Linked DNA regions of Arabidopsis thaliana. The protein of the gene in region 1 interacts with the protein of each later gene in a pairwise test. Each region holds a gene or a part of one and is shown on either strand. Other genes may lie near its edges. The genes, in order: HK2, AT1G53900, AT5G42060 and CUC2.

Region 1 (10,272 bases):
GACATGCCACAATCAGAACACCAAAGCATAGCTTGTCAGGAGAATGCGGTGAGAACAGTGTCTGTACAACGCTAAACATTTTGTTGCAGGTTTAAGGCTTATTAACATAGATTAGTACAAGGGCAGGGTAAATTATTAGTTGACTGTATAGTTAATTGTTTTGGCCGCACCAGTTTAGTTAGTCCATTATTATATAGCCACCTACATTAGGTGGATTTAAATAAGAGGAGAACTTGTAAAGACAAAGTTGATGTTGATGGATCTCTGTAGTATATCGATAGCTCCTATACTGTATATGACTTGATTCAAGTATGTATTTCCATTACATTCATGGAGACACTTGTTCTTTCACTTCCATGAACAGAATGAACCAATGTTGTTATATGGTAGCACTGTGTGATAACAACGTATTCTAAACAGAAATGGAATCAGCCTATTACTGCGAGTCTGTGACTACATGTTAAGTACTCTAGATTGAGCAATAGTACCAGATTGATGTATATTCGATACTGTAGAAAATCTCAATGCACAGTAAAAGCAGGTTGTTGAAGAAATTTTTATCTCAGACTGGAGTGTAATGGGAGAACAGTACATGGATACTGCTTTGGAATGAAAACATTACATAGAGAAAACGTATAAATGCAAAATCATAGCTTTTCATCTTGCTGTATCTTGTCTTTGCTGTGTCGTTTGAATCAGGGGTTATACTCATACTGGCAAGAACCATGGCCTGTCACAATCATAGCTGGATCAGAAACAGATGGTTCACTATCTACTAAGATTCAAGGGAGAAAGAGAGAGAGGAGAAAGCTTACTGGGGTCAAGCTCAGTGATCATGGCAGCTCCTTTGAAGTAACAAGAACCACCTTTGTTTTTATAAGTTTGGTAGTAACTGTTGAAAGCAAAGGAGGCATGATCTCTGATTGTGTTAGGCAAGAAGCAAGGCTGGTTTTCCTGCTGCATTTTGCTGCAGTCTGCTCCACCTTTTCCGCAAGCCCAGTCTAAGGCTGCTTGCAACTCATCGTCTGGCGTTTGTTCATCCGCTATGCACCATTGTTCCGACTCTGCCTCTGCTTAAACATACACTCACATACATCTGCATAAGGCCAAAAAAGGGACATAGTATGAACATTGCAGTGGTGTTTTTACCTGAACGTCGAGGAAGAGTCATTGCTATGATAAGCAAAGGAAGAAGTATCCTTATCAAGAAAGTTGACATGTTTCTAGAGAAGGCAATGAGTGGTGCAGAGAGATCCAGATCTGATCTATCTAGTTAGGAAGTTTGGGAGCTAAGGAAATGAGTGCAACTTGATACCCTTTATACTAGTTAGAAAGAATCATTAGTCCAAAAGTTCAAGATCTATGACTAGGGAATCTTGGTTTGCTTCAGATGCAATCATGTGCCAGATCTGCATTGGTTTTGACTTTTGAGGAAGATTTTGTTCTGCTTCTGGAAGCTTTTCAGAACACACTGTCATTTATACGCTTCCTATCATGTAATCAAGAGCCATTACTATTACTACACAATATACAAGCTGTTTCATAGTTAAGAGGACAGAGTTTGGGTTTATATATATATAAAATGAATATAATGGAGCTATACCCTAGGAATCTACTATACACACAGGCAGAGATCAATGAAGACAAAGTGTCTATACAAAGAGAAAGATCGGTTTTCGCAGTTTTTCTCACTCAACCAGACGAGGTCTTAAGCTGAAAGAGACCTGTGAAGAAAAATTGACAATGAACTGGTTCTTGCCTTGATCTCAAGTTGAATTGCAGGTCATGGATGTTCAAGATATACTACCCGATGTCAAAAAGCTCTCGGGTTGATATATAATCCTACAAGGGAAATGGCTTTTTCTTTTAACAAGGTTCAAAGAATCTTGCTACCGCTGTGTAGAGCACTTCCTCTTCAAACGGTTTTGATACATAACCATCCATTCCACATTTCATGCATTCTTCATGAGTAGCCTGAATAACATCTGCTGTCATTGCTAATATCGGGACGTGCCAACTACTAAATTTACAGAACATTTCAGCTGAAACTTCTCCAGAAGCTATTTTCTTATTGATTTCCCTCTCCAGCTCACGGACTCTCCTTGTCGCTTCAAATCTGCGCAAAAAATTATAAAGTTACCAAGGACGACATCCAAGAAATGAACAAGCTGAAGAGATAAGATTGAAAAATAGTTATCTACCCATCCATTTCAGGCATCTGGAGATCCATGAAGCAAGCATCGAAGTTATGAGGCGGCTTAAGCATTGCCAATGCAGCTTTGCCACTCTCAACGCATGTAACAATAGCTCCATATTTCTTAAGTGCACCTTCTGCAACTCGTCTGTTCACAAGATTATCATCCACAACCAGAATCTGTTTTTCTCTTAGCAAGTGTCCAAGATTTCTTCGCTGTCTGTTCGGTTGCCTCTTCTTGCCATTGACAAGGGTTTCTTGCAAGCAACATATTAAGACACTCATCCGAAGAGGCTTTATCACCACCTCATCGATGAGACCAGTAGACTTCATCTCACTGCGCTCAGTAAGAGTTGCAGAAGTTGCCAAAAGAAAAATCTTTGGGACTCTTGTAAAGGTTACTTTGCTTCGGGTAAACAACTCGTCAAGTACTGAAAATTCTTCCTTGTTCCAGGCGTCTTTGTCTATTAGAATCATAGCCAAATTTTCTAATTTGCTGCAAAGATTCCAGAACAATAAAACGCTTTTAGTGAACTCACTATAATCTCTAAAGACAGACAGACACTAATGTACGTAAAGTACCTGATACAACAAGTGCATGCCATTCTCAGACTTGAAACAATGTCTGCAGATATTCCCAGTCTCCGAAGTTCGTACCTGGTGACCTCTGCTCTAATGTTTCTGTTATCAATAACTAATGCTCTCAATCCTGTAAACTCCTGAATAGCTAGATCGAATCGTTCCAGCTTAGTAATCGACGTATTTGTTTCTGCTTTCCCGAAAACTCCAGTAAATGAAAAAGTACTGCCTATCCCGGGCTCACTCACAAACCCCATCTCTCCTTGCATGAGTTCAACCAAACGTTTGCTTATACTCAAACCTATGCCAGTTCCACCATAAGTCCGCGATGTGGAACTGTCGGCTTGCATAAAAGGTGTGAAGATTCGGCCTTGTGCATCCACAGGTATGCCAACTCCAGTGTCCTCCACTGTAACTAGCAATTTGATTTGATCAGAATTCTGACTCTCAGTACTGTAACATGTCTTGAAATTCTTCCAGCTTCCCCATGCATTTACCGCAGGAAACCCGCTAACTGTCTCACCGGACTCGCTGCATCCTAAAGCTAGTCGCTGTTTTAGCACTGCGTCTTCAATAGTAAGAGGCTCCTTTACCTCATCTGCAAGGTGCACTGAGATAAATATGTGTCCCCTTTCCTGTGTGAACTGTTATTAAGTAAATAACAAATGAGTACTGTAATAGTAGAGATTCGTGAAGCCTGTTGTTCTGTAAGAAGTAAGGAGTAAATTACTTTGATTGAGTTTCCAACCAGGTTTGTAATGATCTGCCGGAACCGACTCGGATCACCGACTACAACATCAGGAACTTGACTAGAAACATAAACGGCCAACTGTAACAAGAAGTCAACATTTCATTACATATGGAATTTGTTTGCCATATGAAAACATTAAGAAAGTAGAAGGTCATGCAGTTTATAATTATACCTCAATTCCTTTTTCATTTGCCTTGCCAGAGAGGAGAGATGAAACATTATCAAGAATAAAACGCATATCAAAAGGCACATTTTCAAGCTCGAGCCTTCCGGATTCAATCTTTGCCTGATCAAGAACCTCATTTATTAGTGATGTAAGATCCTTCCCACTGCCATGAGCAGTTTGCGCATAGTCCATCTGCTTCGCATCAAGATCGGTGTCCATCAGCATTTTCAGCATTCCTGTAACAAAATGCTTAAACGTTTCAGCTGATTTTAAGAGAACATGCAATATTGACCAAGGATAAGTAGAAAAAGTACCTAAAACTCCATTCATCGGAGTCCGTATCTCATGAGAAACAGTTGCTAGGAACTGCAAAATAAGAAGCATTTCAGTGAAAAAACAAGTAAAGCTTTTGAGACTATATGATTCACAAAGATCACCTGTGACTTTGCAATGTCAGCGGCCTCAGCACGAGCTTTGAGTTCCCTCATCTTCTGACAATCCTCTTCAACTGTCGCAATTCGGTTGATGGCTTCATATAAAATATAACCAACAAGAAAAGTAATAACCAGAACTAAGATCGACGGTGTTATCGCTGTCCAGGGAATGGGAAGTTTATGCTTAAACCTGTAAATGAAAAATGCCACTTTCATACTTCAGAAAACAGAGAAGTGAAACATATCTTATAAAAATGTACCATAACAGTTAGAGCTAACTAACCTGCAATGCATCTCATGGTTCCTTGATGGATCACCAAAATCAAGGCTACTTATATGCTGCTCACTTATATCCCCAATTTCTGAGCCATACATTTTTATTAGACCTGAAGTGTTAGTTGTGTCGTAAACATCCACAGCAATTGTCTGTTTGCTGGCAAGTTGGTGAAGAAGTTTCTCCACCAGCGATGGCATATCATATGATGCACCAAGGTACCTGTTTTTAAGTGTATCTTATTAATATTTTCTGGTCCAGAGATCATTCTTTGTTACATAGGTTCAATTTCTTCAGTCCTAGAATCATTTTAAGTAGAAGTAGTACCCAATAGTTGCTTCAACACGCTGTTCTTCTGTAGCATCAGGCGGTAGGCTCGTGTCATAGACAGCAAAGGTCAACACAACACCAAGATGATTTGACTTAAGAAGCTTAAATGGAGATGTTAACACTCCTTTTCCTGATGCCCTTGCCCGTAAGATGTTTTCACGGTCTTCCTGCAAAATAGTTAGACTTTTGAATTCTCTTTTAAGGACATTGGTTTGGCAAAATAGTTCAAGAAACTTTTAGACGTTACTGACTTCTCCAGACATCATGTCGACCGATACAATATGGGAAACAGTTTCTTGAGCAAATATAACTGGCGCGTATTCGTCTTGAATCGGTGCGGGATCAAAGTTTTCAGGAACACAATCTTGTACAACTGTCTGGTCCTCAGTTTCCATTTTCTTTATTGCCCATCCATGCTCCTTTTCAAATTTCTCTCTTTCTGAGTGTGGGACTTTCAAAGCATACGCTACACCACTAGTAAGTGGCCTCTCAAAGTTTGTTCTCTCAGTATATTCTTCAAATGTTCTCTGTAAATGTAACAGAAGTTGATGATTTAAACATAAACTTGAGACACAAAATGTATTTAGCAGTAAGAAAAAAACATCACCTGATCAATGGCAGATGGGATTTTACCATGATGAAATGTAGATACAAGAATAGACAAGGCATGAACATGGTTCAAGCTAACATTGAACTGATCTTGTAAAACACGTGCTCGTTCGTCACACATGTTTGCCAAAGTCTCCCTCCTTTTCATTATGATCTCCTCATTAGTGTCCCAAAACCACCAAACAGAGAAGGAAACTCCTCCTAAAATACCAAGGAGAAGGATATTCTTCCTCCATCTTCCAGCCCCTCTAGAAGAAGTCTGAGCACGTTGTTGCTGCTTCTTTGGAGCTAAAGCCTCTTGCAGATGTACTTTCTCTTTCCTCTCACCTCGTGCTTTAGAATGAGATACATAAATCTTATGGCACACTAACACACCAAGGATTAGACACCACCATGCATTTCTTAAATACGATGACAAACCCTGCTCCAGCCCTTCTTCATGGTTTTCTTCCTCAAGGTTTTCAGGTTGCTGTAAAATCTACTCATAACCAAACACATTCACAATAAACTTTTGTGAGAACTAGCTAAACACCAAATCTTAAAGCATTTCCTTCACATGTTGTCGAATCGAATATTATCTTACCGGTTCAAGATTACCACACATACAAGATGTTGATGAGATAGAATGTCCTAAGCCAAGATTCCAGGGAAGCCCTCTAGTCTCTTGTTTATCAGAACGCACACTCAGGGAACATGTAATACCATAGTTTGTCCACATTCCAGGGCTTGATTCCTTATGACATTCAAAGGATGTTACCTACAACAAATACAGAGAAACTGTTACACTTTAAGGCAAATCTGGTGCGTATTCAAAAGCTCAATTTCAACAAATACAAGTCAATTCATGCAATTACCTGATCTGAATCAGAGAACAAAGAGACCAAATCATGAATCTCACTTCTTGTGACATTTTGATGTCTATACAACACTTTCTCTTCTCCATTACAAGAATCTGTCTCCTCCTTCTGACTTCTACCTAACCGTAAGAACATAACCAAAACAATTACCAAAGAGCCACACAAAATCAGGAAGAAGAGAGGCTTCTTTAGCCATTTCTTGTCACTGCTCGACGACTTCTTAGCTTTCTTTGAAGTAAGATTCAAGAGCTCACAAGTTATAGACATTTCGACTCCTAATCTCAGATTCAGCTGAAGAAATTCAGATCTCTTCAAACCCAAAACTAAAACTCTATCAACAACAATCTCATAGTTGAGTTCTTGAAACCATCCACAAGAAGAACAAGAAGCTGTGACATAGTCCCAAACGCAAAGCTTTTTTCTTTTTTCTTACTTAAGACGCAAGAGGACAAGATGAACCAAACCCAGTGGTTGTTGCAATGGGAGAAAGAAGACATTGTTGAGAGTAAAGAAACGGAAAAGAGAAAAAGGACAAAGCTTTATCTTCTTTCATGGTTTCAGGGTAAAGAAAAATGACAAAGCTTTCTCTGTTTTAGATGTTTGTGAGCTTAAACAAAAGAAACCCAGCTGGTGTCTCTCATTACCCAACTGGACTCAATGATCAGAGTTTGGATAAAAGAAGCATTTGTTAGAGAAATTATGAGCTAAAGAAAAAGAATGTCACTTCTCTCTTCTTTTACTCTACTTTTGATTATTATTATTGTTTTTGTCTTTTGGTGAATAAACATTTTTAAAAACTGAGGTTTTTGGGTCCATGATTATCTCATCATCTAGGTGGGGAAGGTATTATAACATTTTTAGTTAAATTAGAAAAAGTGATTGGCTAATGAAAATATAAATAAACTCAACTATACCAAGAATCAATACATGCTTCTCCTAAAACCTACTCATTGTTATTTGTTTTTTGTTTGGTCTTTTTGGTGTTTTTAAATTGCTTCATTAGCATAGTTTAACATCTACTCTTAAGTCTTATCTTATCTTGTATAAAATATAACGATGAGTGGGTTTTACGAGAAGTGGGTATTGATTTGATTCTATATGTACATCTTATTTCTTTTTATCAGTTTATGTATCTTTGTCTCCCAGTTACATTTATGATTCTGATTATTTTTATGTAAGAAGTTCTGTTTAAAATTGTATTTGACTTTGAAAATATATTAGGACTAGATCATAACCCGTGCTGTATAGCACGGGCATTAATATTTTGTATAAATTACATTGTATACTTTGTTATGTTTGTTATGTTTATCAAAATTATTTGTTATATTTGTCAAAATTTAGTAAAATATATTCAAATATAATTAAATTTATTAAAACTTAATAAATTTAAAAGTTTTTTTTGTTTAGAGACGCACTATCTACATACAAAATACTCGTTTCTATTTTTTTGAGTATTTTTAGGGCCTGAAACTTTTTATCCAAACTGACCCAAACCCAACTGGACCCGACCCGAACCGAATATTTAGAATTATTCTATTAGGTAGTAAATCATATACCCATTAATCCCAAACCCGAACGGGTTCTACCCGAACTCGAATGGGTTACTCATATGCCCAGCCCTATTCTCTGATTTAATTATCTAAAAAATCCCAATAAAACATATGTTTTGTTGAATACCTTTTATTCAAAAAAATTTACATCCTCTTCTGCCAAAATCATTTCATAAGACATCCCAAAACCCTTGGAATAATGATTCTATGAATGAAGAATCCTAATTTGAATATACCAAGAGGTTTTGAAAGGTTTTAAGTTTTTGATAGGTGTGTATGTGAGAAGGTACATCCATCGTGATGGTAATCTGCTTATTTATAATTTTAACTTGCATTATACAGCAGGTAGGCTTATATTTTAGTTAAACTAAAAACTTTTATTGTAAAGTTGATTACAAATATATGATATTATTTTATTTGATTTTAAATGTATAGTAAACTGCTAGTTGTATATGTTTTGTTGATATTATTTATATTGTTTAATGTTTAAAATTATATACTTGTATTTTGATTGTTAATTTTAGAGTTTCACCTGTACTATACCATCTTGTATTAATATTGATTTAAACCCGTCAATTCTAGGATTTTCCAACTTGTATTAAAAATTGAATCACATCATACACATTAAAAAATCTAATATGTTATTAATTATTTTAGTATATAAAATTATAAATTTTAAAATAATATGTATGAAATTGAATATAAATATTCAAATTATAACACAGTACTCAGTAAAATTTTTTTTTAAATCTACTTTTGACCCGTTATAGTATTTTTTCATGTATTGAACAGTTTATATTTGTTTTTTTTAAATTTAAATTGTGGCATATGCGAAAAAAACTCTAATTATTTTTTTATAACGATGATATTATTTTTTTGCAAAAATAAAATCATATAAAGATGAGAGGTGAACTATAATAATTAATAAAAAATTAATATGATAATTTAGATATCAAATCTAATTTGTTGATTTTAATTGGTTACTTTTTTGGAAATTAATAATGTATTTCGTTTTTGAGTTAAATTTAATTAATTAAATTGACTTTTTAATTTTTAAAGAAATGAATTAATTTACTCTTTAAAATTTTATTTCTAATGGCATACATATGTAATTACTTACAAAAAATAAGGTTATATTTAAAATGTACTTCCCAAATAATATAGTAGGATAGAAAACCAGGATTTATATATATATATATATATATATATGTGCTTAAATTAAATAAATTGAAGAAAATAAAGTTGATTTTTTCGTTAAAGTGTTTGTAATGGAATCGCTATTGTAGTATTGTGTCTACACCCAAATTGAAACCAGACATAATACATGAAATTGACCAAAATTGTATATTTTGAGGTGATCTTACCGTGTTCTCAAGATGACCAACGAAGCAAAGACAAAGATGACCCTATAACTTTTATTAAATTGTGTTTGCATTAGTCATGCCTATTTAGTTAGAGTTGGATGAAATATTTGATTTGATTTTTTTTTGTTTGACTCCAATATCTAAACCCTTATACAGTATCGTGCCAAAGTCAATAGAGGCTTAAGACATATTCTAAAATTGTAGTCTCACACATTCTATTTTTGAGATTTTTTTTGAATGTTAAGAAAAATAATATATATATATATATATATATATATATATATATATATATATATATTGCTCATTTAAGAAACAATTTCAGTACAAACAAGATTTAGTAGTTAATGTAAAGGAAAAACAAACAAAATTTTCCATAAATGTTATTGATGAGTTTTCTTTCCAAAACAAAAGTCTTAAAACGCTAAATAAAAATAAATACTGAGTAATTCAGAAATAAATGTGGCATTTTATTTGTTTATTTTTGTATGACCTAAGACAAATGTCTTTTTCCTACATGAAGTACGGCTCTGCCTAAATAACAATTTATTTTCATTTAATCGATCTTTTTTGGTATTTTTGAACTACTGTCGTATGTACATATCAAACCTCATTATTCTTTCATTCCTATATATTATTTAGTTGTTTAATATGTATTCCACCTAAGAGATCTCAATTGATAATTAGTTAGTCTAAAAAAAATATTATCTATTATTTTTATCTCACCAATATTTTAGACTTTAGAACAAAATAGAAAATGACAAATAATAGCATGAGACAATTATTTTTATTAAAAAACAATAAGCAATATAAACATGTAGAATATTATTCGGTTTGGGATTTACGGCTTTACTTCATAGACGGCTTTTAATGACCCTCTTAGGACGTCAAGTTGCTACGATAAAGCCATGAAAACAGTTTTATTAAAGATATGTTATACACCCGAAGACTCACAATTGCCAACAAAGTATGAAAGTAATGTTTCACGTAATAAAAGTCTTGTGCTGAAACAAAAAAGATTAAAATTTTCACGATCGAGATTATTGGAAGATAACTAGTTCATTCGATCACTATCGCCACCCACCACCCCACATTAGCAGAAACAGTTTTAGCGCAAGAAGTCCTGCAGCTCTATATCATTAGGCAGCTGCGATATCTCACCTTCAA
Region 2 (8,081 bases), on another chromosome or scaffold:
GAATTGTCTCCCTAACTTGGCACCATCGTTAGCAACATGGGGTCAATGGTTATTCCTATAGAACTTCTTTTTGTGCACTATCATATCAAGAAACTGTCAGCATTTACCAGCAACGAGAATGCAAATGCAATGAACCGAAATGGACGACCATTTCTAAGCTTATCAACTAATAGTTCTATTACTATATACTATATTGTATGTGACGATGTGCACGATATATATTTTTCTAATACTCGAATCTCACACGTGACAACGACCTTACGTGTATGTACGTGTTGAATAGAATTAAGATACGTTTTATAAACTTCTCTTATCTCACATATTCAACATGTGGATGAAGATCTTCGTATTTTTTATTTTAATTTTTATGATACACCCATAAACTGAATTATTACTAGCTAGTAGAGGCTATAAATACGAAGAAGATATCTATATATATACTATCTATCAGTGCCAAAAAAAAGTTTTTCAATATATGCAAATATACAATCCTATTTCTCCGGTGAAAACCATGGTGAAGATTTATCCTCACCTGGCGTTTCCGGTGGATATGGACGTCGTACAAGACAAGATTTTGCCCTACTTAACGACGGAGCAAGAGAGGTTCACGATTTGGATGAAATCTTTGGTGTTCAATAGCAAAGGCTGCACAGTTTTTGATTCCAAAGGAAACTTAATCTATCGAGTGGATAATTATGATTCCAAGAGTTGGAGTAATGAAGTTTACTTTATGGATTTAAACGGCAAAATTTTGTTTACTTTACGTCAAAAGGTAATACTAAACATTTCATCAATGTTTTCTAAGAATTTATAAGTTCCTATAATTATTATTTTATTTTACCTTGCAAGTTCATTTTTGTTGTGTGCATGTATATATATAGAAACTGGGATTCTTCAAATCTTGGGAAGGATATAACTCAACCGGGACCAGATTTCGACTAAGAAAGATTTTCAAGATTTTGCCAAGAGAATCATCTTCGTCTTACAAAGTTGTAATGGGATCACGCATAGTTGATGGTGATCAACAATCTTGTTATAAGATTGTAAATCGTGGATCAGTTTTCGCAATCAAGGATGGATCGGGAAGATTAATGGCAGAAGTTAAAAACAAACTATCGGATATTAGTGGTTTGGATCTTGGAGATGATGTTTTGACAATGATGGTGGAGCCACAACTAGATCATTCTTTAATAATGGGTATTGTTATAGCTTATAAACTTACCAAATGTAAATTGTGATAATCAGGTGGTAATCTTGAAGGTAAGCATGTTTTAAAGCTAATTAAACGTTGGCATAAACCCCAAATATCTGGCTTGAAATTGGATATTGAAAAGATTGCACCAGAATGCGGAGAAGCTCGGCATCGTTCATCCTCATAAAAGTCAAAACAACCAATCAGTTCTCTCTTTTTTTATATTTTGGTATGGAAACCTAATTCTCTTACTTAATATTCAATCCATTCTTTTCCTCCAACTTCTTCGTAAATGGCGGATGAAACTATAACCCTGTTTCAGCTTATTGCCAAACCCGAACCGCGCACCATGGAATAGTACTGATCCAACGAGTATGTTTGAACAAGCTCAAGCTGCCATTCAATCATCGCTATCATGACCGTGATTACTCGTTTTCCCGGTCGTGAGAAGACCCTTTAAGCGTGATTTTTATACGGATGTATGTTTTACTAATACTAGTACCAATTCCACAACATAAACCAAAAGTGTTTTGAAATTAGGGTCATGTTTCTGTTAACAATATCTTTAACTAGCTGAGTTAACCATAATTGAATTACTAAAATATTTATCAAACTGAATTAAATAGATTTGGATGGTAATTTAGTCAGCAGAAAGAATTGGAATTGGTGAAGAAGATAATAGACTAATAGTAAAGGGGTCATGGAAGTTATACGAATGCATGAAAAGATAATAGAGATATCAATCATACGATTTTATTAAACTAAAGGACCATGTGATCAGATTGTAATTTGTAATAGCAGAATGAGCCATCTCATATTCCATACATGGTTTTAAATAGGCTTGTCCATTTCGGTACTGTTCATATACTGTATGTTCCAATTTTTATCCCATATTTGTGTGTTTAAAAAAAATAAAAATAGCTACTTGAAATTGTTTATAGAATGAGATATATATATGTATTATTCGTTTGGTTATTCAGCTTTTATAAAATTAATGAAAATCATCTAAATATGTAAGTTTTTCAGAAATACCCGTATCGAAAGTGACCTTTAATTTAACCGTCCCGACATCAAGCCTTACCCAAATTAGTAAGAATTTGAATAATAAATTTTGCTACTTAAATTTCTTGAACTCGTTCCGCGACCCAAAATTCTCGTCCCTATCTTATCGAAAATTGTCATGAATGTTTTTTGTTATGTGAATTACTTGCTCTCGATTTATGTGTTATTTTACTGTCCTGATATCAAGATGTACACGCCTAGTTTTAAGTGGCAACAACATATAATTTCTTACGCATGTTTCAATTTTCAAACACAAAAAAAACGTAACCTGTGACACTTTGACATTATTTTTTGGGTATGCGAATGAATTGAAATTAATTTATAGTGTTCTAGAGAATAAAAGAAAGTGCCCTAAAAGAAATGATATCAAATTTATTTGCAAATACAAAGAAAAAAAAAAACACAATTTTTGCAAATATAAACAATAGCTTTTACAGTTAATCTTCCTGTCAAAACATTCTTTTGTGCAGTATCATTCCGATAAACTGTCAGCATTGGACAACGGATAGAACACAAATGGAATGGACCACAACTGAAGACCGATTCTAAGCCTAGCAACTAATAATTTGAAGTTATCTTATTATATTGTATGAACAGTTTTTTCAATATTTTTTGCTCTATTAATCGAATCTCACAATCACATTAGTCACGTTACAACGACCAGACATGTAGTAACAAACAAAAAGGACCATACATTTTTTTTTGTTTAACAAAAACGACCATACATGTTATCGCTACATGATTTTCTCTGTTATTTTTATTTTGTATCTCACATTGAACATGTGGACGAAGACCTTCGTATATATATATTTTCTAATGACACACCAAAAACTGAATTACTACTACTAGTAGAAAGTATATATAAATGCGAAGAAGACATATAACTATCATTCAGAGCCAAACATAAAAAAAAATCAATACATATGCAAATATATAGCAACAACCGAACGATGAGGACCAAATTTTCACTTAATCTGATTTCTCCGGCGAAGAACATGGTGAAGATTCATCCTGACAAGGCGTTTCCTGTGGATTTTAGCGTGGGAGAAGGCAAGACTTCGCCGTACTTAACGACGGAGAAAGAGAGTTTCACGATTTGGATGAGATCTCTTGTGTTTCATAGTAAAGGCTGCACAGTTTTTGATTCCAAAGGAAACTTAATCTATCGAGTGGATAATTATAACTCCAAGAGTTGTAGTGAAGTTTACCTTATGGACTTATACGGCAAAATCTTGTTTACATTACGTCAAAAGGTAAACAATAAAACATATCATCTTATGTTCTTATAGTTTTCTTAAAAGTATTTTGTTCTAACTCTTTTATTTTCTTGGTTATAGAAATTGGGATTATTCAAATCTTGGAAAGGATATAACTCAACCGGGACAAGATTTCAACTAAGAAAAAACTTCAAGATATTGCCAAAGGGTTCATCTTCATCATACAAAGTTGTAATGGGATCGCGTATAGTTGATGGTGATCATCAATCTTGTTATAAGATTGTAAAACGCAAATCGGTTTTCACAATCGAGGATGGATCAGGAAGATTATTGGCAGAAGTTAAAAAGAAACAATCAAATATCAAAAGTTTAGATCTTGGGAAAGATGTATTAACAATGATGGTGGAGCCACAAGTAGATCACTCTTTAATAATGGGTATTGTTATAGCATATAGTCTTCTCAAATGTAAATTGTGATAATTAGTAGGGGTGAGATTGAACTATTGTGTAAACTTTAGGGTCGTAAATGTAAATATACAATTTTGGAGAGCCAAATGATAATATTATTGTTAATGAAGTTCTTAAAGCTAAATTAAATGTTATTACAGGCATGAGGCATAAACCCCAAAGTCTCTAGCTTGAAACTGAGATTTTCGAAGAATTCATCAAAATGTGGAGAGAATCGGCTTCGTTTATCCTCGATAAGCATCAGAACAACAAACCCATTTCTCTAACTCATTCAATTGATTCTCCTCCACCACCATCTGCTTCAATGGCGGATGAAAACCCTAACCCTAATCCTATTTCGGCTTATTACCAAACCAGAGCGGCGCATCATGGAATTGTGACTAGCGAGTGGTTGGAGCAGGCTCAAGCCGCGGTTCGACGTTACCCTGATCGTGATTCCTTAGTTTCGGGAAGACCCTTTAGCGTGATTGAGGACTTTAATAGTTGGAGACAGCAACCTGATTTGGCGGAGGCTGTTGCGGCGATTCGTGCTCTTGCGGCTGTTATTAGGGCTAGTGAAGCTACTACTATGATGGAACTTGAAATTGAACTCAAGAAAGCTTCTGATACTCTGAAAGTAAGAGACTTTCTTCTTTGTGTTGAAATTTGGGTTCTGAATTTTGGATGACTCTGTATTGTGATTCAATCTTTAACGAACTCTTAGCATTGAGTATTTTGGTTCATGCCCTGACGATAACTTAGGATTAGCTTGCGGCGTAAATGGTAGATGTGATCATCATCGTGGCATTGCATTGACTTGTCGAGTTGTGAATTTTGCTTGGCATTATATGTCCGAGTAATCTCTGCATTGTGGATTTTATTGATGGTGTTAAGAATCTCTGGTTGCTCTATTTGGAAAGATAGGTTGAAAGTTTAATCTTTTTGGATATCTTGATGCTGATGCTTCTGGTTTTACTTCACTTCTTCTGTGATGCTATACTTCTTTGAAATATTCTGTTTGTTTTGAAATGAGCAATTGGTTGTTTCCTTTGATTTGAGTGTCAGATTGTACATTTGAGTCCTGCTCAAATCGTAGCTTTCAGTTTTTAATGAACATGCTATTAGTTTGCAACTTAGCATTGATTATTTTGACAAAAAATCAGGTTTAGTTTGTGTCAAAATGGTAGATGTGATTATGGCATTGCATTGACTTGTAGAGTTCTGAATTGTACTTGGCATTTCTGCGAGTTTCTTGATCGCTAAGACTCTCTGGTGGCTCTAAAGGGAAAGATAGGTTGAAAGTTTTATCTTTCCTGGATGATGTGTTTATGGTTTTAATTTACATCTTCTATGATGCTATACTTCTTTGAAATATTATGTCTCTATGGAAATTGGTAGCTGATGGATTTCGTTAGTCCTGAGTGTCAGATGGTATTATTTGAGTAGCTTTCAGTGTTTTCGAGGTAGAACTCTAAAAATGTAAGATTGTCTTCATGTTTCAGTCATGGGACACAACGTCGATATCCTTAACAGCGGGATGTGATCTATTCATGCGCTATGTGACTCGAACATCTGCTTTAGAATTTGAGGACTTCAACTCTGCGAAATCCCGTGTGCTTGAACGTGCTGAGAAATTTGGGGAAATATCTTGCAAGGTCAGTGTTCTCTTCGAACGGGAATTGTTTACATAAATAGTTAGTAGAAGAAGAGTTTGAACAGTAACTGGAAATTTTGCAGGCCCGAACGATAATTGCAATGCTTAGTCAAGATTTCATATTTGATGGGTGTACTATTCTGGTCCATGGTTTCTCCAGAGTTGTGTTTGAAATACTAAAGACATCAGCGCAAAACAAGAAACTCTTTCGAGTGTTGTGCACAGGTACTTTTCTTAAGACTTAGAGATCAATTGGATATGACATCTTCCAGTTATCTCATTCTGATTTTCCTAACTGACAATCACATTTCCGTTGCATCCGTGGAAACAAAATACAGAGGGAAGGCCAGATAAAACAGGTGTACTGCTAGCTAACGAGCTTGCAAAACTTGATATTCCTGTGAAGCTTCTGATCGATTCAGCCGTGGCCTATAGCATGGATGAAGTAGACATGGTGTTTGTTGGAGCTGATGGAGTAGTTGAAAGTGGCGGGATAATTAACATGATGGGAACTTACCAAATCGCCCTAGTCGCACAGAGTATGAATAAACCAGTCTATGTAGCTGCAGAGAGTTACAAGGTAACCTCCCAAAACTTTAAAAGTTTTAAAAACTTGATTGCAAAAACATCAATGATCCATCATCTTCTTTCTTGTTTTCTTGCAAGCGAAGTTTGCACGGCTCTACCCGTTGGATCAAAAGGACTTAGAACCAGCCTTGCGACCTATTGATTTCAGTGTTCCTGTTCCTCCTAAGGTTGAGGTAGAAAGATCTGCAAGGGACTACACTCCTCCTCAGTACTTGACTCTACTCTTCACTGATCTTGGTGTTCTCACTCCATCTGTAGTAAGTGACGAGCTTATTCAGCTTTACTTGTAAGTGAAGCTGTCTAATTCCTATAGCTGGTCTGAAATCTCTCATTTTTTGTATAAAAATAAAAACAAAAACACCATATTTTTGGCTATACACAGACATAGTTTGTCTCTGATTCTTACTGCTAATGCACATTTTTTTTGGTAGTAGCGAGATCTTTGTGACTTGTCATCTTTACTCAAAATTTATCACCCAAGTTTCAATATATAGTTACTAGTATATATTATAGTATGATCATTTCTGGTTTTTGATTTCTTGATTAGAGATATGTATTGCTATATTGTTTTATTATTGTTAGAATCATTTGTGTTTTTTTGCAAAAGTATATATATCCTTTTAACACTTTAAAATGTTTGCACAAAAAAAAAAATGGTATGGTATGCGCTGGATATTGAAAAGTTGCAATTATTGCAGTGTAGTGATAAATGACCTATAATGTAACATGGAATATCATATGATTTGATGTTTTGAAAATGAGAGCATGAGAAACGTGATAGAATTAAAGATGGTAAATTCTTAGTATTATTTTAATGCTTGGTCTAAGTAACTACTCCCTCTGTTTCATAATATAAGTTGTTTTGGAACAATTTTTTTGTTTTACTATATAAGTTGTTTTCAAGTTTCTATACAAATTATATATTATTTTAATATTTTATGATTATTTATGTTATGTAGTCTCTTTTGTGATTAGTAGAATTTTTTAAAAGTAAATATTTTTAATTTGCGTGTTTTTATTTAAAACAATTTATATTGTAAAACAGATGGAATATTATTATAGGCTATAGGCCTATAGCTAATGTTTGGATCTAACTGCTAACGTTGTAAGATTCATAAAACACCGGCCACTTACAATCCCACGTTTTTTTTAAAAATATTACGTTCTTTCCTGGAATTACCCATATACACGTTTTTTTTGTTATCTTCGTGCTCAACTGTTTACAAAAGTATACTGTATTCGGGAAGGTGAAAAAAGATAAAATTATTTCGGAACATCTAATATACTAACACAATAAATGAAATTAAAAATATATTTGTAAAGACATTAAAGATGGCAAATATATCTGTCCACACCACATTTTAATTCTTTTTTATATCATTAGTCTATAACATTTGATTAAGTTTCACGTTTTAGAAAAGTGATTATGTATAAACTAAAAATATAAATAGATTACTTTACAACAAACTTTTTTTTAGCATTTTACATTTGTTCATTTAACAACAACTATAACATATTGAATTCGAGTTTTTTTTTCCTTTTCCCAATCATTCCATTGAATGTATGAGTTTAGGTCTTAGGGTTATTTTCTGATGAATAGCAAAAGTAGTAATTCCCGACAAGAAATTGGCCAATGTCGAAAAAGTCAAATTCCACATTTTAATTGAGACATAAAAGACACATCACTCAATACAGTAAAATATCTACTTTTATATATTCCCAAAAACCATTCGGCTTCTGCTTCCACTTCATCTCTCTCTCTCTCTCCCTTCTCACATTTCTCTCCACTCAGATTTCCAATTCCTAAAGATAGAGAGAATGACTAAAATCTCTGTTGGATTGCAACTTGTGACAAGAGATTCGAGGGAAAAACTAAACAATATAGTGATCAAATCTTCACTGAGACTAAACCGATCCAATC
Region 3 (5,081 bases), 2.9 Mb from region 1:
AATGTCCTGGCGAATCTCGTTTCCCTGCTCAGGTACTACTATGTACTTACTTTCTTGCGTTTCTTTGAGCTCTTGCTTTTGTCTAAATGCTAACAAATTTTTTGGGGTAATAAAAATAAAGGTGAGGGCCATAACGAGGAAAGTATGTTTGCCACTGGAAGAAGATTCTTTCCGACCCATTTTGCACCACTACGACGGTCCTAAGTTCCGACTCGAACTCAGTGTCCCTGAGGTACGTTTTTTTCATCTTCTTTAGTTCACAACCACTTTTTTTTCTTACATTCAAAGTCTAACGCTTTGGTTGTGTTTTTGGCAGGTGCTTTCTCTATTGGACATTTTTGCTGACCAAAACCCTTGAATTGGGTAATACCAATGAAGAACACAAAACAGTGGTTTGTTACTTCAAATCCAGAAAGAGAGAGATACCCCATTATACATATATGATTATAAGGAGGAGTATTAATAATAATTGTCTGAAGAAATGGTATTTTACTAGTTTATACAGTTTCTTTCTTAAGTATATTCCCAGGAGATATGGGATAAATAGAAGATGTGCTATTTTTGTGTGGGTGGATGAAGAATAGATCTCATCTCCGCGCTTTTTTCTTTTTGTAAATTATATAAAATAACATATGTACAACCCCAAAAATAGGGAGAAATGAGATGATGAACTCTTATCAATTTGTGTTTGATATTTTTATTATTGCTCCTATTCACTTCTTGCCCAATTCTATCTTGAATTTCATTTATACTAGTCGGAATAAACCGGCCACTTCATGAAAGATTTGTTGTAACAAACAACAAACTTCTCCAACAAGTAATTAAAATGAATCCAGAACAGAAGGCAATGGTTTGGGGGAAAAAAAATGTGGGAAAGATTAGTTGAAGCAGCAAAAGTGATTAGAGAAAAGCACGTTAAGAAAAAGTGTACAATAAAAGTGTTAACATCAAAACATCAAAATATTTAATTTTTGTTCGTCGGCATTAGTTTTGTTATAAACCATAGGAGAAAATGTCAGAAATAGATCCACAACTTAAAAGAAAATCTCACGACGTGGCGTAGGTAAATGGAGACTGGAGATATTAATGTGGGGGAGATGAAGAAGACTTTGAATTGGTCTTTGTTTTGAAATATGCGTTCACGCTTAGTGGAAACAAACACATGGACTCGTCTCGACGCTAATTACGCGGACCAGATTGTGCCACGCTTTAACGGTGCACGTTGGCTTTGTATTCGATGGGCTGAAACTTTTGCTGACTTTGTGTTTGGACCAATCAGCCACTTGTTCACCAATTAAGATTAACCTTCTTTTTTTTTTATATAGATTATCGGCATTTATGTATATTTTATACGAACTGGTAATAATAGTGCATAACAATTGCAACAAAACTACAAGCTTTTGGAACCCTGAAAGGGTTGCTGATTCATGGAACTAGAAGTGTATTCTAAGGTTGAGACTTGAGAGTGTTGGCTGAGAAATTTATCAGGTGTAACATTGGTAGCTTTTGGTTTGATAACTGGACCGCCTTTGGTCCACTCATCAAATTTATTGGTAACGACGGGACAAGAAGCTTGATAGTTGCCGTTAATGCTACCATTCCTGATGTGTGCAAACCTGATGGTTGGAATCTTGCTAACCCACGGTCTGATCAGTATAAAACACAGTCAACAATCCATTGGAAAGCGAATTACAAGCTCTAATCTATTATTTGCAATATTCAGCTGCTGGAGCAAAGGCTATCGAAAGGTGTGTTTCCAAGGTAATAACAGACAAGTATCTCTTTTCCTGAACAAAAAATAGTGCCATCAACTTCAGAATCTGTAACTGAATTCGACACATTAGGACTTGGCAAGCCAAGTTTGAAGAGGTGTCCTGCAAATTTTCTTGCAAGAGCTCAAATTCCTCAGACACATTGTCTTATTGCTTAGACACATGTTTCATATCGGACAAAAACATTAGCTTCCATGAACCAGAAACACTATTAAAAAAACAAACAGAGACAATCTTTGAGGAAATTACATTAAAACTATCCAATTTTGGATCGACATACTTTTAGATTAATAATATCTAAATACTCGTCGACTCTATTCTCTTGGGAAGCATCGCAAGTTTATTGCCGATCAACTTTACTGCTTCTTCGAGGAAATTTTCAACTTCTTCTTTCACGATTACCTTGTAAGGATCTTGAGACAGATCAAGATCCAATTTAAGTGAAGCTTCTTCTCGCGCCTTAATCTCTGTTATCTTGTACAAGTTCGAACTTTCCAAGATCTTCTTCACCGTCTTCTTTATTTTCCTCCGCAGATCCTTGTCGATCTCTACTTCTTCTCTCGCTACTTCCTCCATTGATGATGTCTCGCCGACAGAGAGAAACCAAAGGGTTTTTGTTTTGTTTTTTCTTACGAGTGATAAAACCTTCTTTAGGGTTTCTTAACTATTGAGCCGTAAAATTATAAATGGGCCGATAATATGTTTAGGCCCAATCATCATTACACATTTCCAAAAAAAGTTCTTCTTGGACTTGAAAAACTGGGCTATATATCACTTGTTTGAACTTTTGCTAGAACTTGTTGGCTTTGTCTGGCTGCAAAACAAACAAAGAGAGAAGAACATGATCATCATTACTCTGCAAGGTTCTCAAACCCATTTTGACATTCTTGTACATGCCAAAAGACGGTTTTTGTTGCGGTCCAATTTGTTTCATTGTTGATTGTAAGTGTATATAAATAATACTAGGCATTAACATACCGTAGTAGTGAATCACTGGTGTCTACAGAAGTGGAGGATTTAGAGTCACCACGACCAAATGCAACCTCGTCCATGCTCTGCCCTATGCGGCGGTATCTACCTCCGGCCTCAACAAACGCGGGACAAGGCCTGTAAGCCTTAATTGGCCACCAACCGAAACCGGGGACAGTTGCAATGCCACCTTGAATCCGTCCGTCACCATTACACCCACTCTCTTTCTCTTCTTTCCCACACGCTCTGCAACCACTGTTTCATTCCTCATGTTATGATCTATTGACTATAGAGAGATGGATCCATCACAATTCACAAATGACAATATAACCAATCGCTCAAGCCAACATGAGACCACAAAGAAATTTATGAGGTTAGTTATTGTAGAGAATCATTTTAAGAGATTCACTAGTGTAACAAAATTGAAGATTCATATAACACTAACAAGTTAACAGCAGAAAAGAGTCTCTATGATTTCATCATTTACGCAATCCCTAATCTATCACTAACTCTAAAATCCTTAATGTCAACGAAATTGGATTAGCTGAGAAAGGTTTAAGCTTTCCAATGGAATCGATGAAGAGAAGCAAAAGGGTACCTGAAAGTGAGGTCGTTGTCGTCGTCATTATCAGTTTCTACGACGGAAGACGGCGAAGAAGAAAGAGAGAGTAGTGGATGAGGATGATGCTTTGATGATTTGTTGAGAAAGAAACTGCTTGAGCTTGGCCATGGCCTTGATTTGTGACTACCATTGTTGAAGATGAAACATCGAGGCAGAGATATTGATGAAATGGAATTCGCCATTTTTCTTTCCTCTGTGAGCTAAGAGAAGAGAGTGTGAGAAGATAATGGCCACAAATTCAGAAACGCAAAACAAAATAAAAAAGAGTACATTACAAATTTTTATTTTAAACTATTAGAATTTTTTTCTTATTGGTAATCATATTTAAATATTATACTCTTTTTTTGGGTAGAATGTTTAATATTATACTATTGTTACAGAAAAATTATCATATGCGAAAAATACATTTTATAGTAATTAAATAAAGGGAATAGAGAAAATCTAATCTATGTGGATGTTATAAAAGATACGTAACATATCGGGTGATGGACAAAAAACATTAGAGGCAGGACAAACAATGTGGATGTTATAAAACGATACGTAACATATCGGGTGATGGACAAAAAACATAGAGGTAGGACAAACAATGTGGATGTTATATAAAACGATACTGCATGGTATCGGGAAGATCATCTTATACAAATTACAGACCCTAAATCTCTGCTCCGAGTCTGAGCCACACCGACCAGAACCGAGCAAAACAGTGGACATGACATGCCGGTATCACTTGGACCAAGCAACAGCATCGATCTCGGATTGGGCTGCTCGATACAATTCTAGCCGCTTTGAGATGGCACTGCGTCTCTCCATGATTGCTGGATCTTCGTTCAATAGCGACGAGAGCCTCTTCATCTGTTGGATATCACCATATTAGTTGACTCAGTGTTTACCCGAATGACACTTCTTTAGGTTAAGAAAAAAGGCAGAGAGCACTTACATCCATGGTACCGAGCTCCGCAAAGAAATGGTCGAGGAGACTGCGCTTCGCTTCTCGGACTTGGCAGTATACGATGGACTTGGGGATTGAATTCCGCAGGCCAGCACAGACCATGTTCACGTAAGACAAAACATTGGATCCTGTTGCCAAATGTCTAAAATTTGTGAGATATACGGTACCAGATAATTATTTATTTATATGGGTTAACCTTACCGATTCGTCTGAGATAGGAATCGTTGTAGCGGTCGAAAATGGAGTGTGTGGGGTTACCACCCTTCTCAACATCCTGGGGAAGTTTCCTGAAGAAATCAACAGTGAGGTAACTGCACTCCATGTCAACCAGCTGCAGTGTTGCTTTCTTACTTCCTTCCCGCATTTTATCCAGCGACTCTATCGCCGCATTTGTCACCTCCACTCTCAGAGCTGGGTATTGTTTTAGTTCCTGCACATGTTCAAACCGTCTATAACATTGTACAAAAGTACTAGTTGTTGGAGATATATATATATATATATATATTACTAAAAGAAAAAAGAACGTACCACAGTTTCATTCACAGACTTGTGAACCAGATCCTTTAAGATAGCATGAACCTAATATTTAACCATAGAAAAAAAAAAAAACGGAGAGAGAAGCTTATTGTTTTGTGTTAGGTTTTTGATACATCTTTTTAGAGATGAAAGTAAAGAGTTCATACGGTGTCAACAGATGCTTCAGCAGGGCCTCTGATGGAGACAATAGAAGACTCAATGAGACGACGGTAACCTTGCTCAGGAGCAATCA
Region 4 (6,811 bases), 8.0 Mb from region 1:
TCAGTCCGACAAAGAAAACAACCCTTATTTTTACCTCTTTATGTAGCTAAAGCAGTATTTCTGCAATTTTGAAAATAGTATAGGACACTCAAATGCTTAATTTTATATATTCATTTGAAAGTGTACATGTATGTGTGTTTAAAAAAAAATCGTTGGCACATCATTTGAATGCAATTGATTTATATGCGAAATTTTGATTTAGATTTAGTTGGCATAATTTTTCTTTTCCTCTTCACAAACTTTCCAGCTGTTTTAATCACATGATAATTGTTGGGCGTAATCGGTGTGGGCGTAATGACGTACAAAATCAGACATTTGTTTTTGGGGCAAAAAATCAGACATCTTTTAGAAAAGCAAGTAAAATTTAAATGTTGTAGTTATTGAAGCTGATAATAATAATAAAATATAGTAACTTTTGGTTTAAGATTTTTATTTTTTAAGTCAGGCCAGCTGAATTTTCTGCTTTTTTATATATACATAGTGTGATAAAATTAGTCAGTTCTTATCATCACTTAGCTGTTCTTTTGTGTAAATAGCTGGGTTTTTTCTTATATATATATATATATATATGTTGGTCAATGTTTTTTGAACCAATACCATTTGCCTTAGTTTGTTTTGTGATTGCAAATGTAACCAATGAAACCCAAAATAATAAGCATACAAATGTGTACATATATTCCTTTAGCTAAAACATCATGAAATTTTGCCATTTAGCAAGACGTATATGTGAGTCTGTGAATTTGTCTTATGACTAGGTAGTATAGGTTGGTGATGCAACAAGAGCAATAATTGATGATGGTAATGATGATGATGATGATGATGGTTGTGTTACACACATACATATATCATACTCCTACTAGTATACACACGTGAAATGAAAACACATATATAATGGTAATAAACAGAGGTATTATTAATTATGTCTCTTTCTAAAAATAGAAATGTGAAAGCCATCCTTCTGAAAGTGAGGTGGACTGTTGTACAAGATCTGAATTTGGGAGTGGTCCGTTCGTCAGCATGCGCATCATATTCATCATCCCCGTTTCAAAATCCTTAATTTCAAAACTACTTCTTTTCTTTGGTGGGTTTACAATGCATTAAGTTAATCAAAATTAGTATGTAAATTATTTTCAGTAACTACCATGTACATGCATGTTATCTTAATCAATTAAGCCAAACGCAAATTGTTGTGTTTAGTCTCATATGTGTACGATTGTAGCAAGAAGATACACCTAACTGAAAATGGTGTTCATAGACTGATTAATCCACTGAATTATGAGTACTTACTTTAAAAGCATGAAACTTTCTTGAAATATTTTGGCAGTTACACATGTCAACCTTAATTAGCTAGAATTAATAAACAAAAACTACATGCATGTTTTACATTTGAGCATCTTCAATTGATGAAGAAATTAAATAATTAGCCATGTTATGTAATTACGGAAATCATCTAACCGAAGATTCGGAACGGTTGAATTCCGGAAACATATATATAACCGCCATATCAAATTGTATTAACAAGAAGAAAACTAAGGTATCTAGAAGCGACCGAAGAAATTCATTTTGTCGGTAATATACTGTATGATTGTATTGATAACCAAGGACACATGTCAAATATCATGAGAAATATAAAACATGAAAAAGCCATGAAATTAACATAATGTCAAACATTACAAAAACGAGCATAGCTTATACATATGCACGTTCATAGTCTAGAAAACATTTTCCTTGCATATTACCTCCTAATTAACACAACCGGATAAACTTAAAACTAGAGAATTAAGCGGAACATCAAGCTAAGTGCAATATTAAGCTCCTCGGTACACACATTTCATAATACCATAATCATCCTAGAAATACATAAATAAAACCCTAACGGGAACAATTATAAGTCACCTCTTTTGTGATCAGTAGTTCCAAATACAGTCAAGTCCAGCATGAAGCACACCGACCTTTGACTCATTCTCTTCGGCAGTCGCCGGTAGCCAGTAATTCATCCCGGAGACGCCTCCGCCGCCTTGGAAAGAAGGCAGATTAACGGCGGAGGTCATAGTCGATGCAGAAGACGATCCAAAGTAAGGAAATTGATTGAAGTTTTCTTGGAACGATCTGAAGTTAGATTGAGTCGAGACGTTTCTAGAAACGAAACGAGGAAAAGGGTCAAAGTCAAACCCTAGCGGCGGTGGAAGACGGCTGAATGAGTTAACGTCTAAGCCCAAGGCCGTAGTAGTAGTAGGGACAGTGGAGAAACAGGACACGTGCTCGGTTATTGCGCTGGCTGTGACGGTTGTGTTGGTGCTACGGCTGTCGTAGGAGCAACTGCTGTCGGTGTAGCCGAGGGTAGTGGTCGGATCCAGGAGAGGTGGGAGTGAGACGGAGGAAGGAGAGCTTGGTTGTTCTTGATAGTTTCTTGAGATTGTTGAGGGTACTTTCGTCTTTTTAGATGGACCAGTACCGCTGCTTACGCTCACAGTTGCTCCTCCTCCTCCTCCTCCTTCGGAGACGGCTCCGGTGCTAGCTAAAGTGGTTTTCTGGAAAACCCTAGAGATCACCCATTCATCCTGAAGGAATAAATTAGAGTTTTGAAAAGTCAAATATTTTATATAATATATGTTTGATGAGAAAGTCAATGTTAGATCTTGGAAATAAAAGAGAGTGAAGATTAAGAAAAACCATAGAGTAAAAGCGTGCACAGAGGGAATGTACATTGGACACTACAAGTCTACAATGGATATGGAACACTAATTAAGTAAAATTAATTTAATTAAATTTCTTTTTAATATATCTAGGTCAGAAAAAAATCCTGAAGATTTGCATTGGTTCTGGTTTTTTGCATTAAGCTTTCCAAAAGTAGGATGTATTAATATTTTATTTTATCAGAGCTATTGAATGTTTTCTTACTTTAGGAAAACACCATTATGATTGAAATCCCAATACATAAAAACAGCAGATCTTTTCTATTTCATGTTCCATAATGCTCTCAGATAACCACAGTAAAGAACCATGCCTTTTCAGCCATCAAAATTAAATGCAATAAAGCAAAAGAGAAAAAAATCAACGTCACCGACTATGTCACACTCTCGAATTTTTTTTCCAAATAATAGATTGTAAATTTATTAATCAAAGAAAATTAAGGCTTTACTTTATCAACAAAATAACTAATGAAAGGTTAAATCGAAGTACCTTGGAGCTTCTTGAGATGAAATGGTAAGAGAATTTGCCTTCAAGACGATATTCATGCATAACCCAATTACTCTTCTCTCCTTTCGGAGCTCTTCCTTTGTAAAAGACAAGAGTCTTCTTCATCCCAACAAGTGCACAAGTCTTTGAACTAAAGATCTCTCTGTCTTTTCCGGTAGCTTTCCAGTAACCAGCCTCAGTTGCTCTGTTAGTTCTCAGTCCCGTCGGATACTTCCGGTCACGGAGGCTAAAGAAGTACCATTCTTTCTCTCCCATCTTAGCTCTCCCTAAGTAACATTGAGAGTAAAGATTTCAGAAACCTTAATTACAAAAGAACTACAAGTAAGTTAGTTTTGTATTTTCTTACCGGGAAGTTGCCAAGGCTCACACTTGTTGAGATCAACTTCTGCGATGGCACGGCTTGAGAAGCAACCGTCGAGGACTTTGCGGAGAAGGTAATGAGTGATGAGCTCTTCGTCCGTGGGATGAAACCTGAAACCCGGTGGAAGATATTGGCTGTCTCCGCCATGGTCGTAGTGGTAATACGGAATGTCCATTAAGAAGAAAGATCTAAAGCTTTTGTTTGAGAGAGAAAAAACCCTAAGGAGACTCAAATGTTTTGAAGAAGAAGATAAATAGGTTAATATAATGGATGGTTCTTGAGTAAGGGGCGTGGTAATAATGTGGATGGATATTATTTTTTGGTTTTATTAGTTTATTTTTTTTATACATTGGGATTTGGTAAATCTAAAACGGCGAAATAGAGGGAAGCTTTTTTTTTGGGGTAGTGAAAGTAAAATAATTATTAAAAGATTAAAAACCAGAAAGTCGTAGAGAAGATAATTATAAATTTAGTAATAATAAAAAGACAGGTACGTCTACTCTTTCATAGGAATCTGTGGTTTTCTCTGCCTTGTCTTGTAGTAAAGAGAGCAAAGCCAAAGCAGATTATTACATCACATTTTTGAGTTTATCGATATATTTTTTACATAACTCGAGATTGTTTTAAAATTACAAAATTAAAATTAATCATGAAGTGTCCGTATTTCTTTGAATTAAATTATTAAAGAAACGAGGAATGGGCTCTTGTTTCTATCTGAGTATGCGTGCGTGCATGAGAAAAAGTGCAGTGGTATTCTCTGTCAGTGATGAAAATAAAAGAGAGGATTCAGATTGTATCTTTTTTTTTATCTACGAACTTGAAATTTCTTTTTATTATTGTGTTTGGAAATTGGGATACATAATAATTTATTATACGTACAATGACTAATCGAAACAATAGTAGTATAGTGAGGGATACATTATTAGACATATACACTAGTTATTTGGAAAGTGAAGAGTTTCAATTTTTATTTTTAATAGAAAAATGGATATTATATCGATAAGGCTGTTTCAAATCTTGGAGTGTCAGCACAGTACATGATTAATTTATCAAAAACTTTGACAGAGACTTCGTTACTACACGCCACCACCTTCTACACCTTTCACCTCTCTTTTTTTTTTCCTTGATTTTCTTTTCGTTTTTGTTTCATCTTTTCCATTTTCCAATTTTTTACTCCTGTGATGGATTTTTAGTTACTTTTCATTGCTTCATATTCATTTGTAAGACTCAGCAAAAGAAAATTAAATTTCATTATTTTCAAGCAACGAGATTTATGATGTAAGATTGAAAAATAATTTAATCAAGAAGTTACAGGTTGCAAATCAGAGAAGATATTTATGCTGCCTGGTTTTGTAGTTTTCTTAATTACTATCTCAAGTCTGTTTTTTCTCCTTTTTTATATAAATTAATTATGGCTCATCAAATAACTAATTATCAATTATGTTGATTGTTACAGGTCCACCAAAATGACATGACTAAACGTAAATTTCACAATTGTTAATTTATTTCTGTTACTTCCAATATTTTGATTATTATCTCATACAAATTATTTATTTTAGTGGAACTTCAATTTTAGCCCTATTTGACATGACTTGTTTTTTAAAATTTCCCACCCAAAAATGTACTAAAGAATAAACTAAAGAATAAAAGACACACCCAAAAATGTAAAGACCTTAAGATCAAACTAAAAAGATAGTGAGTTGATCAATTTCTACTAATAAATTAACTACAGACTTATTGACTATTTTAACCGTATGAAAAAATTGTATAAACTTAAATCAAAATAACTCTCCCCTTCGAGTATTCATATCTACGGACTTATCATGTGTGTAACTATTAGTTAAAAAAAAGAAGATGTTATAAAGTATGCAAAGTAATAATTATACATTAAAAATCATTATCAGAGACATGCTAAGACTATTACACCTGCTACTACTGTTTAATAGTAGTATTTATTACTATCTAGAAATTGTAGGTCTATCTATACGTCTTTTTAGACATATCTGCATATGACAGTAACTAAATCTAATTAATAAGATCCTTTCCTGTCTTAATTACAGATAGTTGAAGTAAAAGATTATCACCAAGCTATGAACCGAAGCAATAACATTATATAATTGTAATTACTTGAATTTATGAAGTTTTGAATACATTCTAGTGTGCCAAAGTGTTAATTGTCTTAAACTGAAAACAATGGCCAAACAGATTACAATGTTGATATTGACCTTGCCAAATTTTAGAAATTTGCTTTACTTTATCTTAATTTAAACATATATTTTTCACGGTTAATTTGTTTGTTTGCTTAGCATTTTTTTCATAACGAGAAAAATATTCTTATGACTTTAAATATCTAATATCCGTACTTTTTCAAGGTTAAAATGCACACTCCCTACTTTCTATCACCTTCATTCCATTTATGCTATATTTTTGACACTTTAAATACCACATTTATCCCCTTTTGATTAATTAACACAATAGTAGAGTGTTTGATATTCTATATACATATCATCCTCTTTATTTTATTTTTCAATTTCTTTTCCAAATTGTTTATATTTTTCTATTGATCTGAAATTTATGGCTGCTTTCGAACACCAAAATGGATTTGTTTTTCTCTACAGAAAAACATATGTCCTACCATAAAATTCGTTGTTGTTTTATCAATCATTTATTACAAAACTTTTATTTATTTTCTAAAATGTTTGGTAATACCGCATATCATCTTTTTTTAATAACTGCAAAAAGCAAATGAACAAATGCCAATAATAAACTATTTGACGTAAGAGAACCCAATAAAATAAATAATGATAGCATTATAAATGCAGGAGGTTAACACAGTATTAAGAAACAGTAGATATTCCCTTGTGACCTACTCACTTGAGTAAACTAATAGCCCAATCTATGTTTAATTTCTTTTTGTGGTCAACATTTTTTTGATAATACATATTTGTAATTTTTATGGTTCGAAAGAGGATCTTACTTCAGATAGACTTTCCCAAAACAAAAACCAAATTATTTGTTATCTCGATGGTCAAGCTCAAGCAGTCGAAGAGTAGGTAAGGAGAAGAGCAGTTAATATAGCATTATATGGCTACATGGACTCTGTTTTCTGTAATGTATAAATAATTGTATACTGTAAATATCTTAATTTATGATATATATTTAGATTAAAGGCAATTGTGTAAGAAACGTCGAATTTGAACTTCTTTATCAAATAATCAGAATATCAGATAATAAGTAAAGATCGTCTAA

The links.
Region 2: the proteins of HK2 (region 1) and AT1G53900 interact in a two-hybrid assay, tested with the Arabidopsis thaliana proteins (one large-scale study listed by BioGRID).
Region 3: the proteins of HK2 (region 1) and AT5G42060 interact in a two-hybrid assay, tested with the Arabidopsis thaliana proteins (one large-scale study listed by BioGRID).
Region 4: the proteins of HK2 (region 1) and CUC2 interact in a two-hybrid assay, tested with the Arabidopsis thaliana proteins (one large-scale study listed by BioGRID).

Annotation. Positions count from the first base shown.
Region 1 is NC_003076.8:13,909,877-13,920,148, forward strand, and holds HK2 (histidine kinase 2), read right to left. Parts: upstream 6,930-10,272; 5' UTR 6,462-6,929; coding exon 6,192-6,461; intron 6,095-6,191; coding exon 5,921-6,094; intron 5,816-5,920; coding exon 5,336-5,815; intron 5,256-5,335; coding exon 4,980-5,255; intron 4,896-4,979; coding exon 4,726-4,895; intron 4,621-4,725; coding exon 4,408-4,620; intron 4,315-4,407; coding exon 4,128-4,314; intron 4,057-4,127; coding exon 4,005-4,056; intron 3,927-4,004; coding exon 3,697-3,926; intron 3,603-3,696; coding exon 3,504-3,602; intron 3,418-3,503; coding exon 2,777-3,417; intron 2,691-2,776; coding exon 2,202-2,690; intron 2,117-2,201; coding exon 1,867-2,116; 3' UTR 1,407-1,866; downstream 1-1,406. Other genes in the region: AT5G35740 (Carbohydrate-binding X8 domain superfamily protein), read right to left, coding at 696-730, 816-1,070, 1,150-1,219. UniProt on the Arabidopsis thaliana protein: Cytokinins (CK) receptor related to bacterial two-component regulators. Functions as a histidine kinase and transmits the stress signal to a downstream MAPK cascade.
Region 2 is NC_003070.9:20,124,385-20,132,465, forward strand, and holds AT1G53900 (Eukaryotic translation initiation factor 2B (eIF-2B) family protein), read left to right. Parts: upstream 1-3,160; 5' UTR 3,161-3,177; coding exon 3,178-3,507; intron 3,508-3,591; coding exon 3,592-3,885; intron 3,886-4,108; coding exon 4,109-4,555; intron 4,556-5,420; coding exon 5,421-5,573; intron 5,574-5,655; coding exon 5,656-5,797; intron 5,798-5,910; coding exon 5,911-6,152; intron 6,153-6,243; coding exon 6,244-6,450; 3' UTR 6,451-6,666; downstream 6,667-8,081. Other genes in the region: AT1G53890 (LURP-one-like protein (DUF567)), read left to right, coding at 476-764, 910-1,163, 1,246-1,260, 1,345-1,421, 1,515-1,611; AT1G53903 (linoleate 9S-lipoxygenase-4 protein, putative (DUF581)), read left to right, coding at 7,979-8,081.
Region 3 is NC_003076.8:16,816,575-16,821,655, forward strand, and holds AT5G42060 (DEK, chromatin associated protein), read right to left. Parts: upstream 2,382-5,081; 5' UTR 2,349-2,381; coding exon 2,070-2,348; 3' UTR 1,814-2,069; downstream 1-1,813. Other genes in the region: AT5G42050 (DCD (Development and Cell Death) domain protein), read left to right, coding at 1-32, 122-232, 317-358; AT5G42053 (uncharacterized protein), read left to right, coding at 1,134-1,298; AT5G42070 (uncharacterized protein), read right to left, coding at 2,544-2,586, 2,751-2,996, 3,340-3,545; DL1 (dynamin-like protein), read right to left, coding at 4,087-4,215, 4,301-4,440, 4,514-4,742, 4,841-4,891, 4,996-5,081.
Region 4 is NC_003076.8:21,900,059-21,906,869, forward strand, and holds CUC2 (NAC (No Apical Meristem) domain transcriptional regulator superfamily protein), read right to left. Parts: upstream 3,797-6,811; 5' UTR 3,738-3,796; coding exon 3,548-3,737; intron 3,468-3,547; coding exon 3,184-3,467; intron 2,562-3,183; coding exon 1,908-2,561; 3' UTR 1,646-1,907; downstream 1-1,645.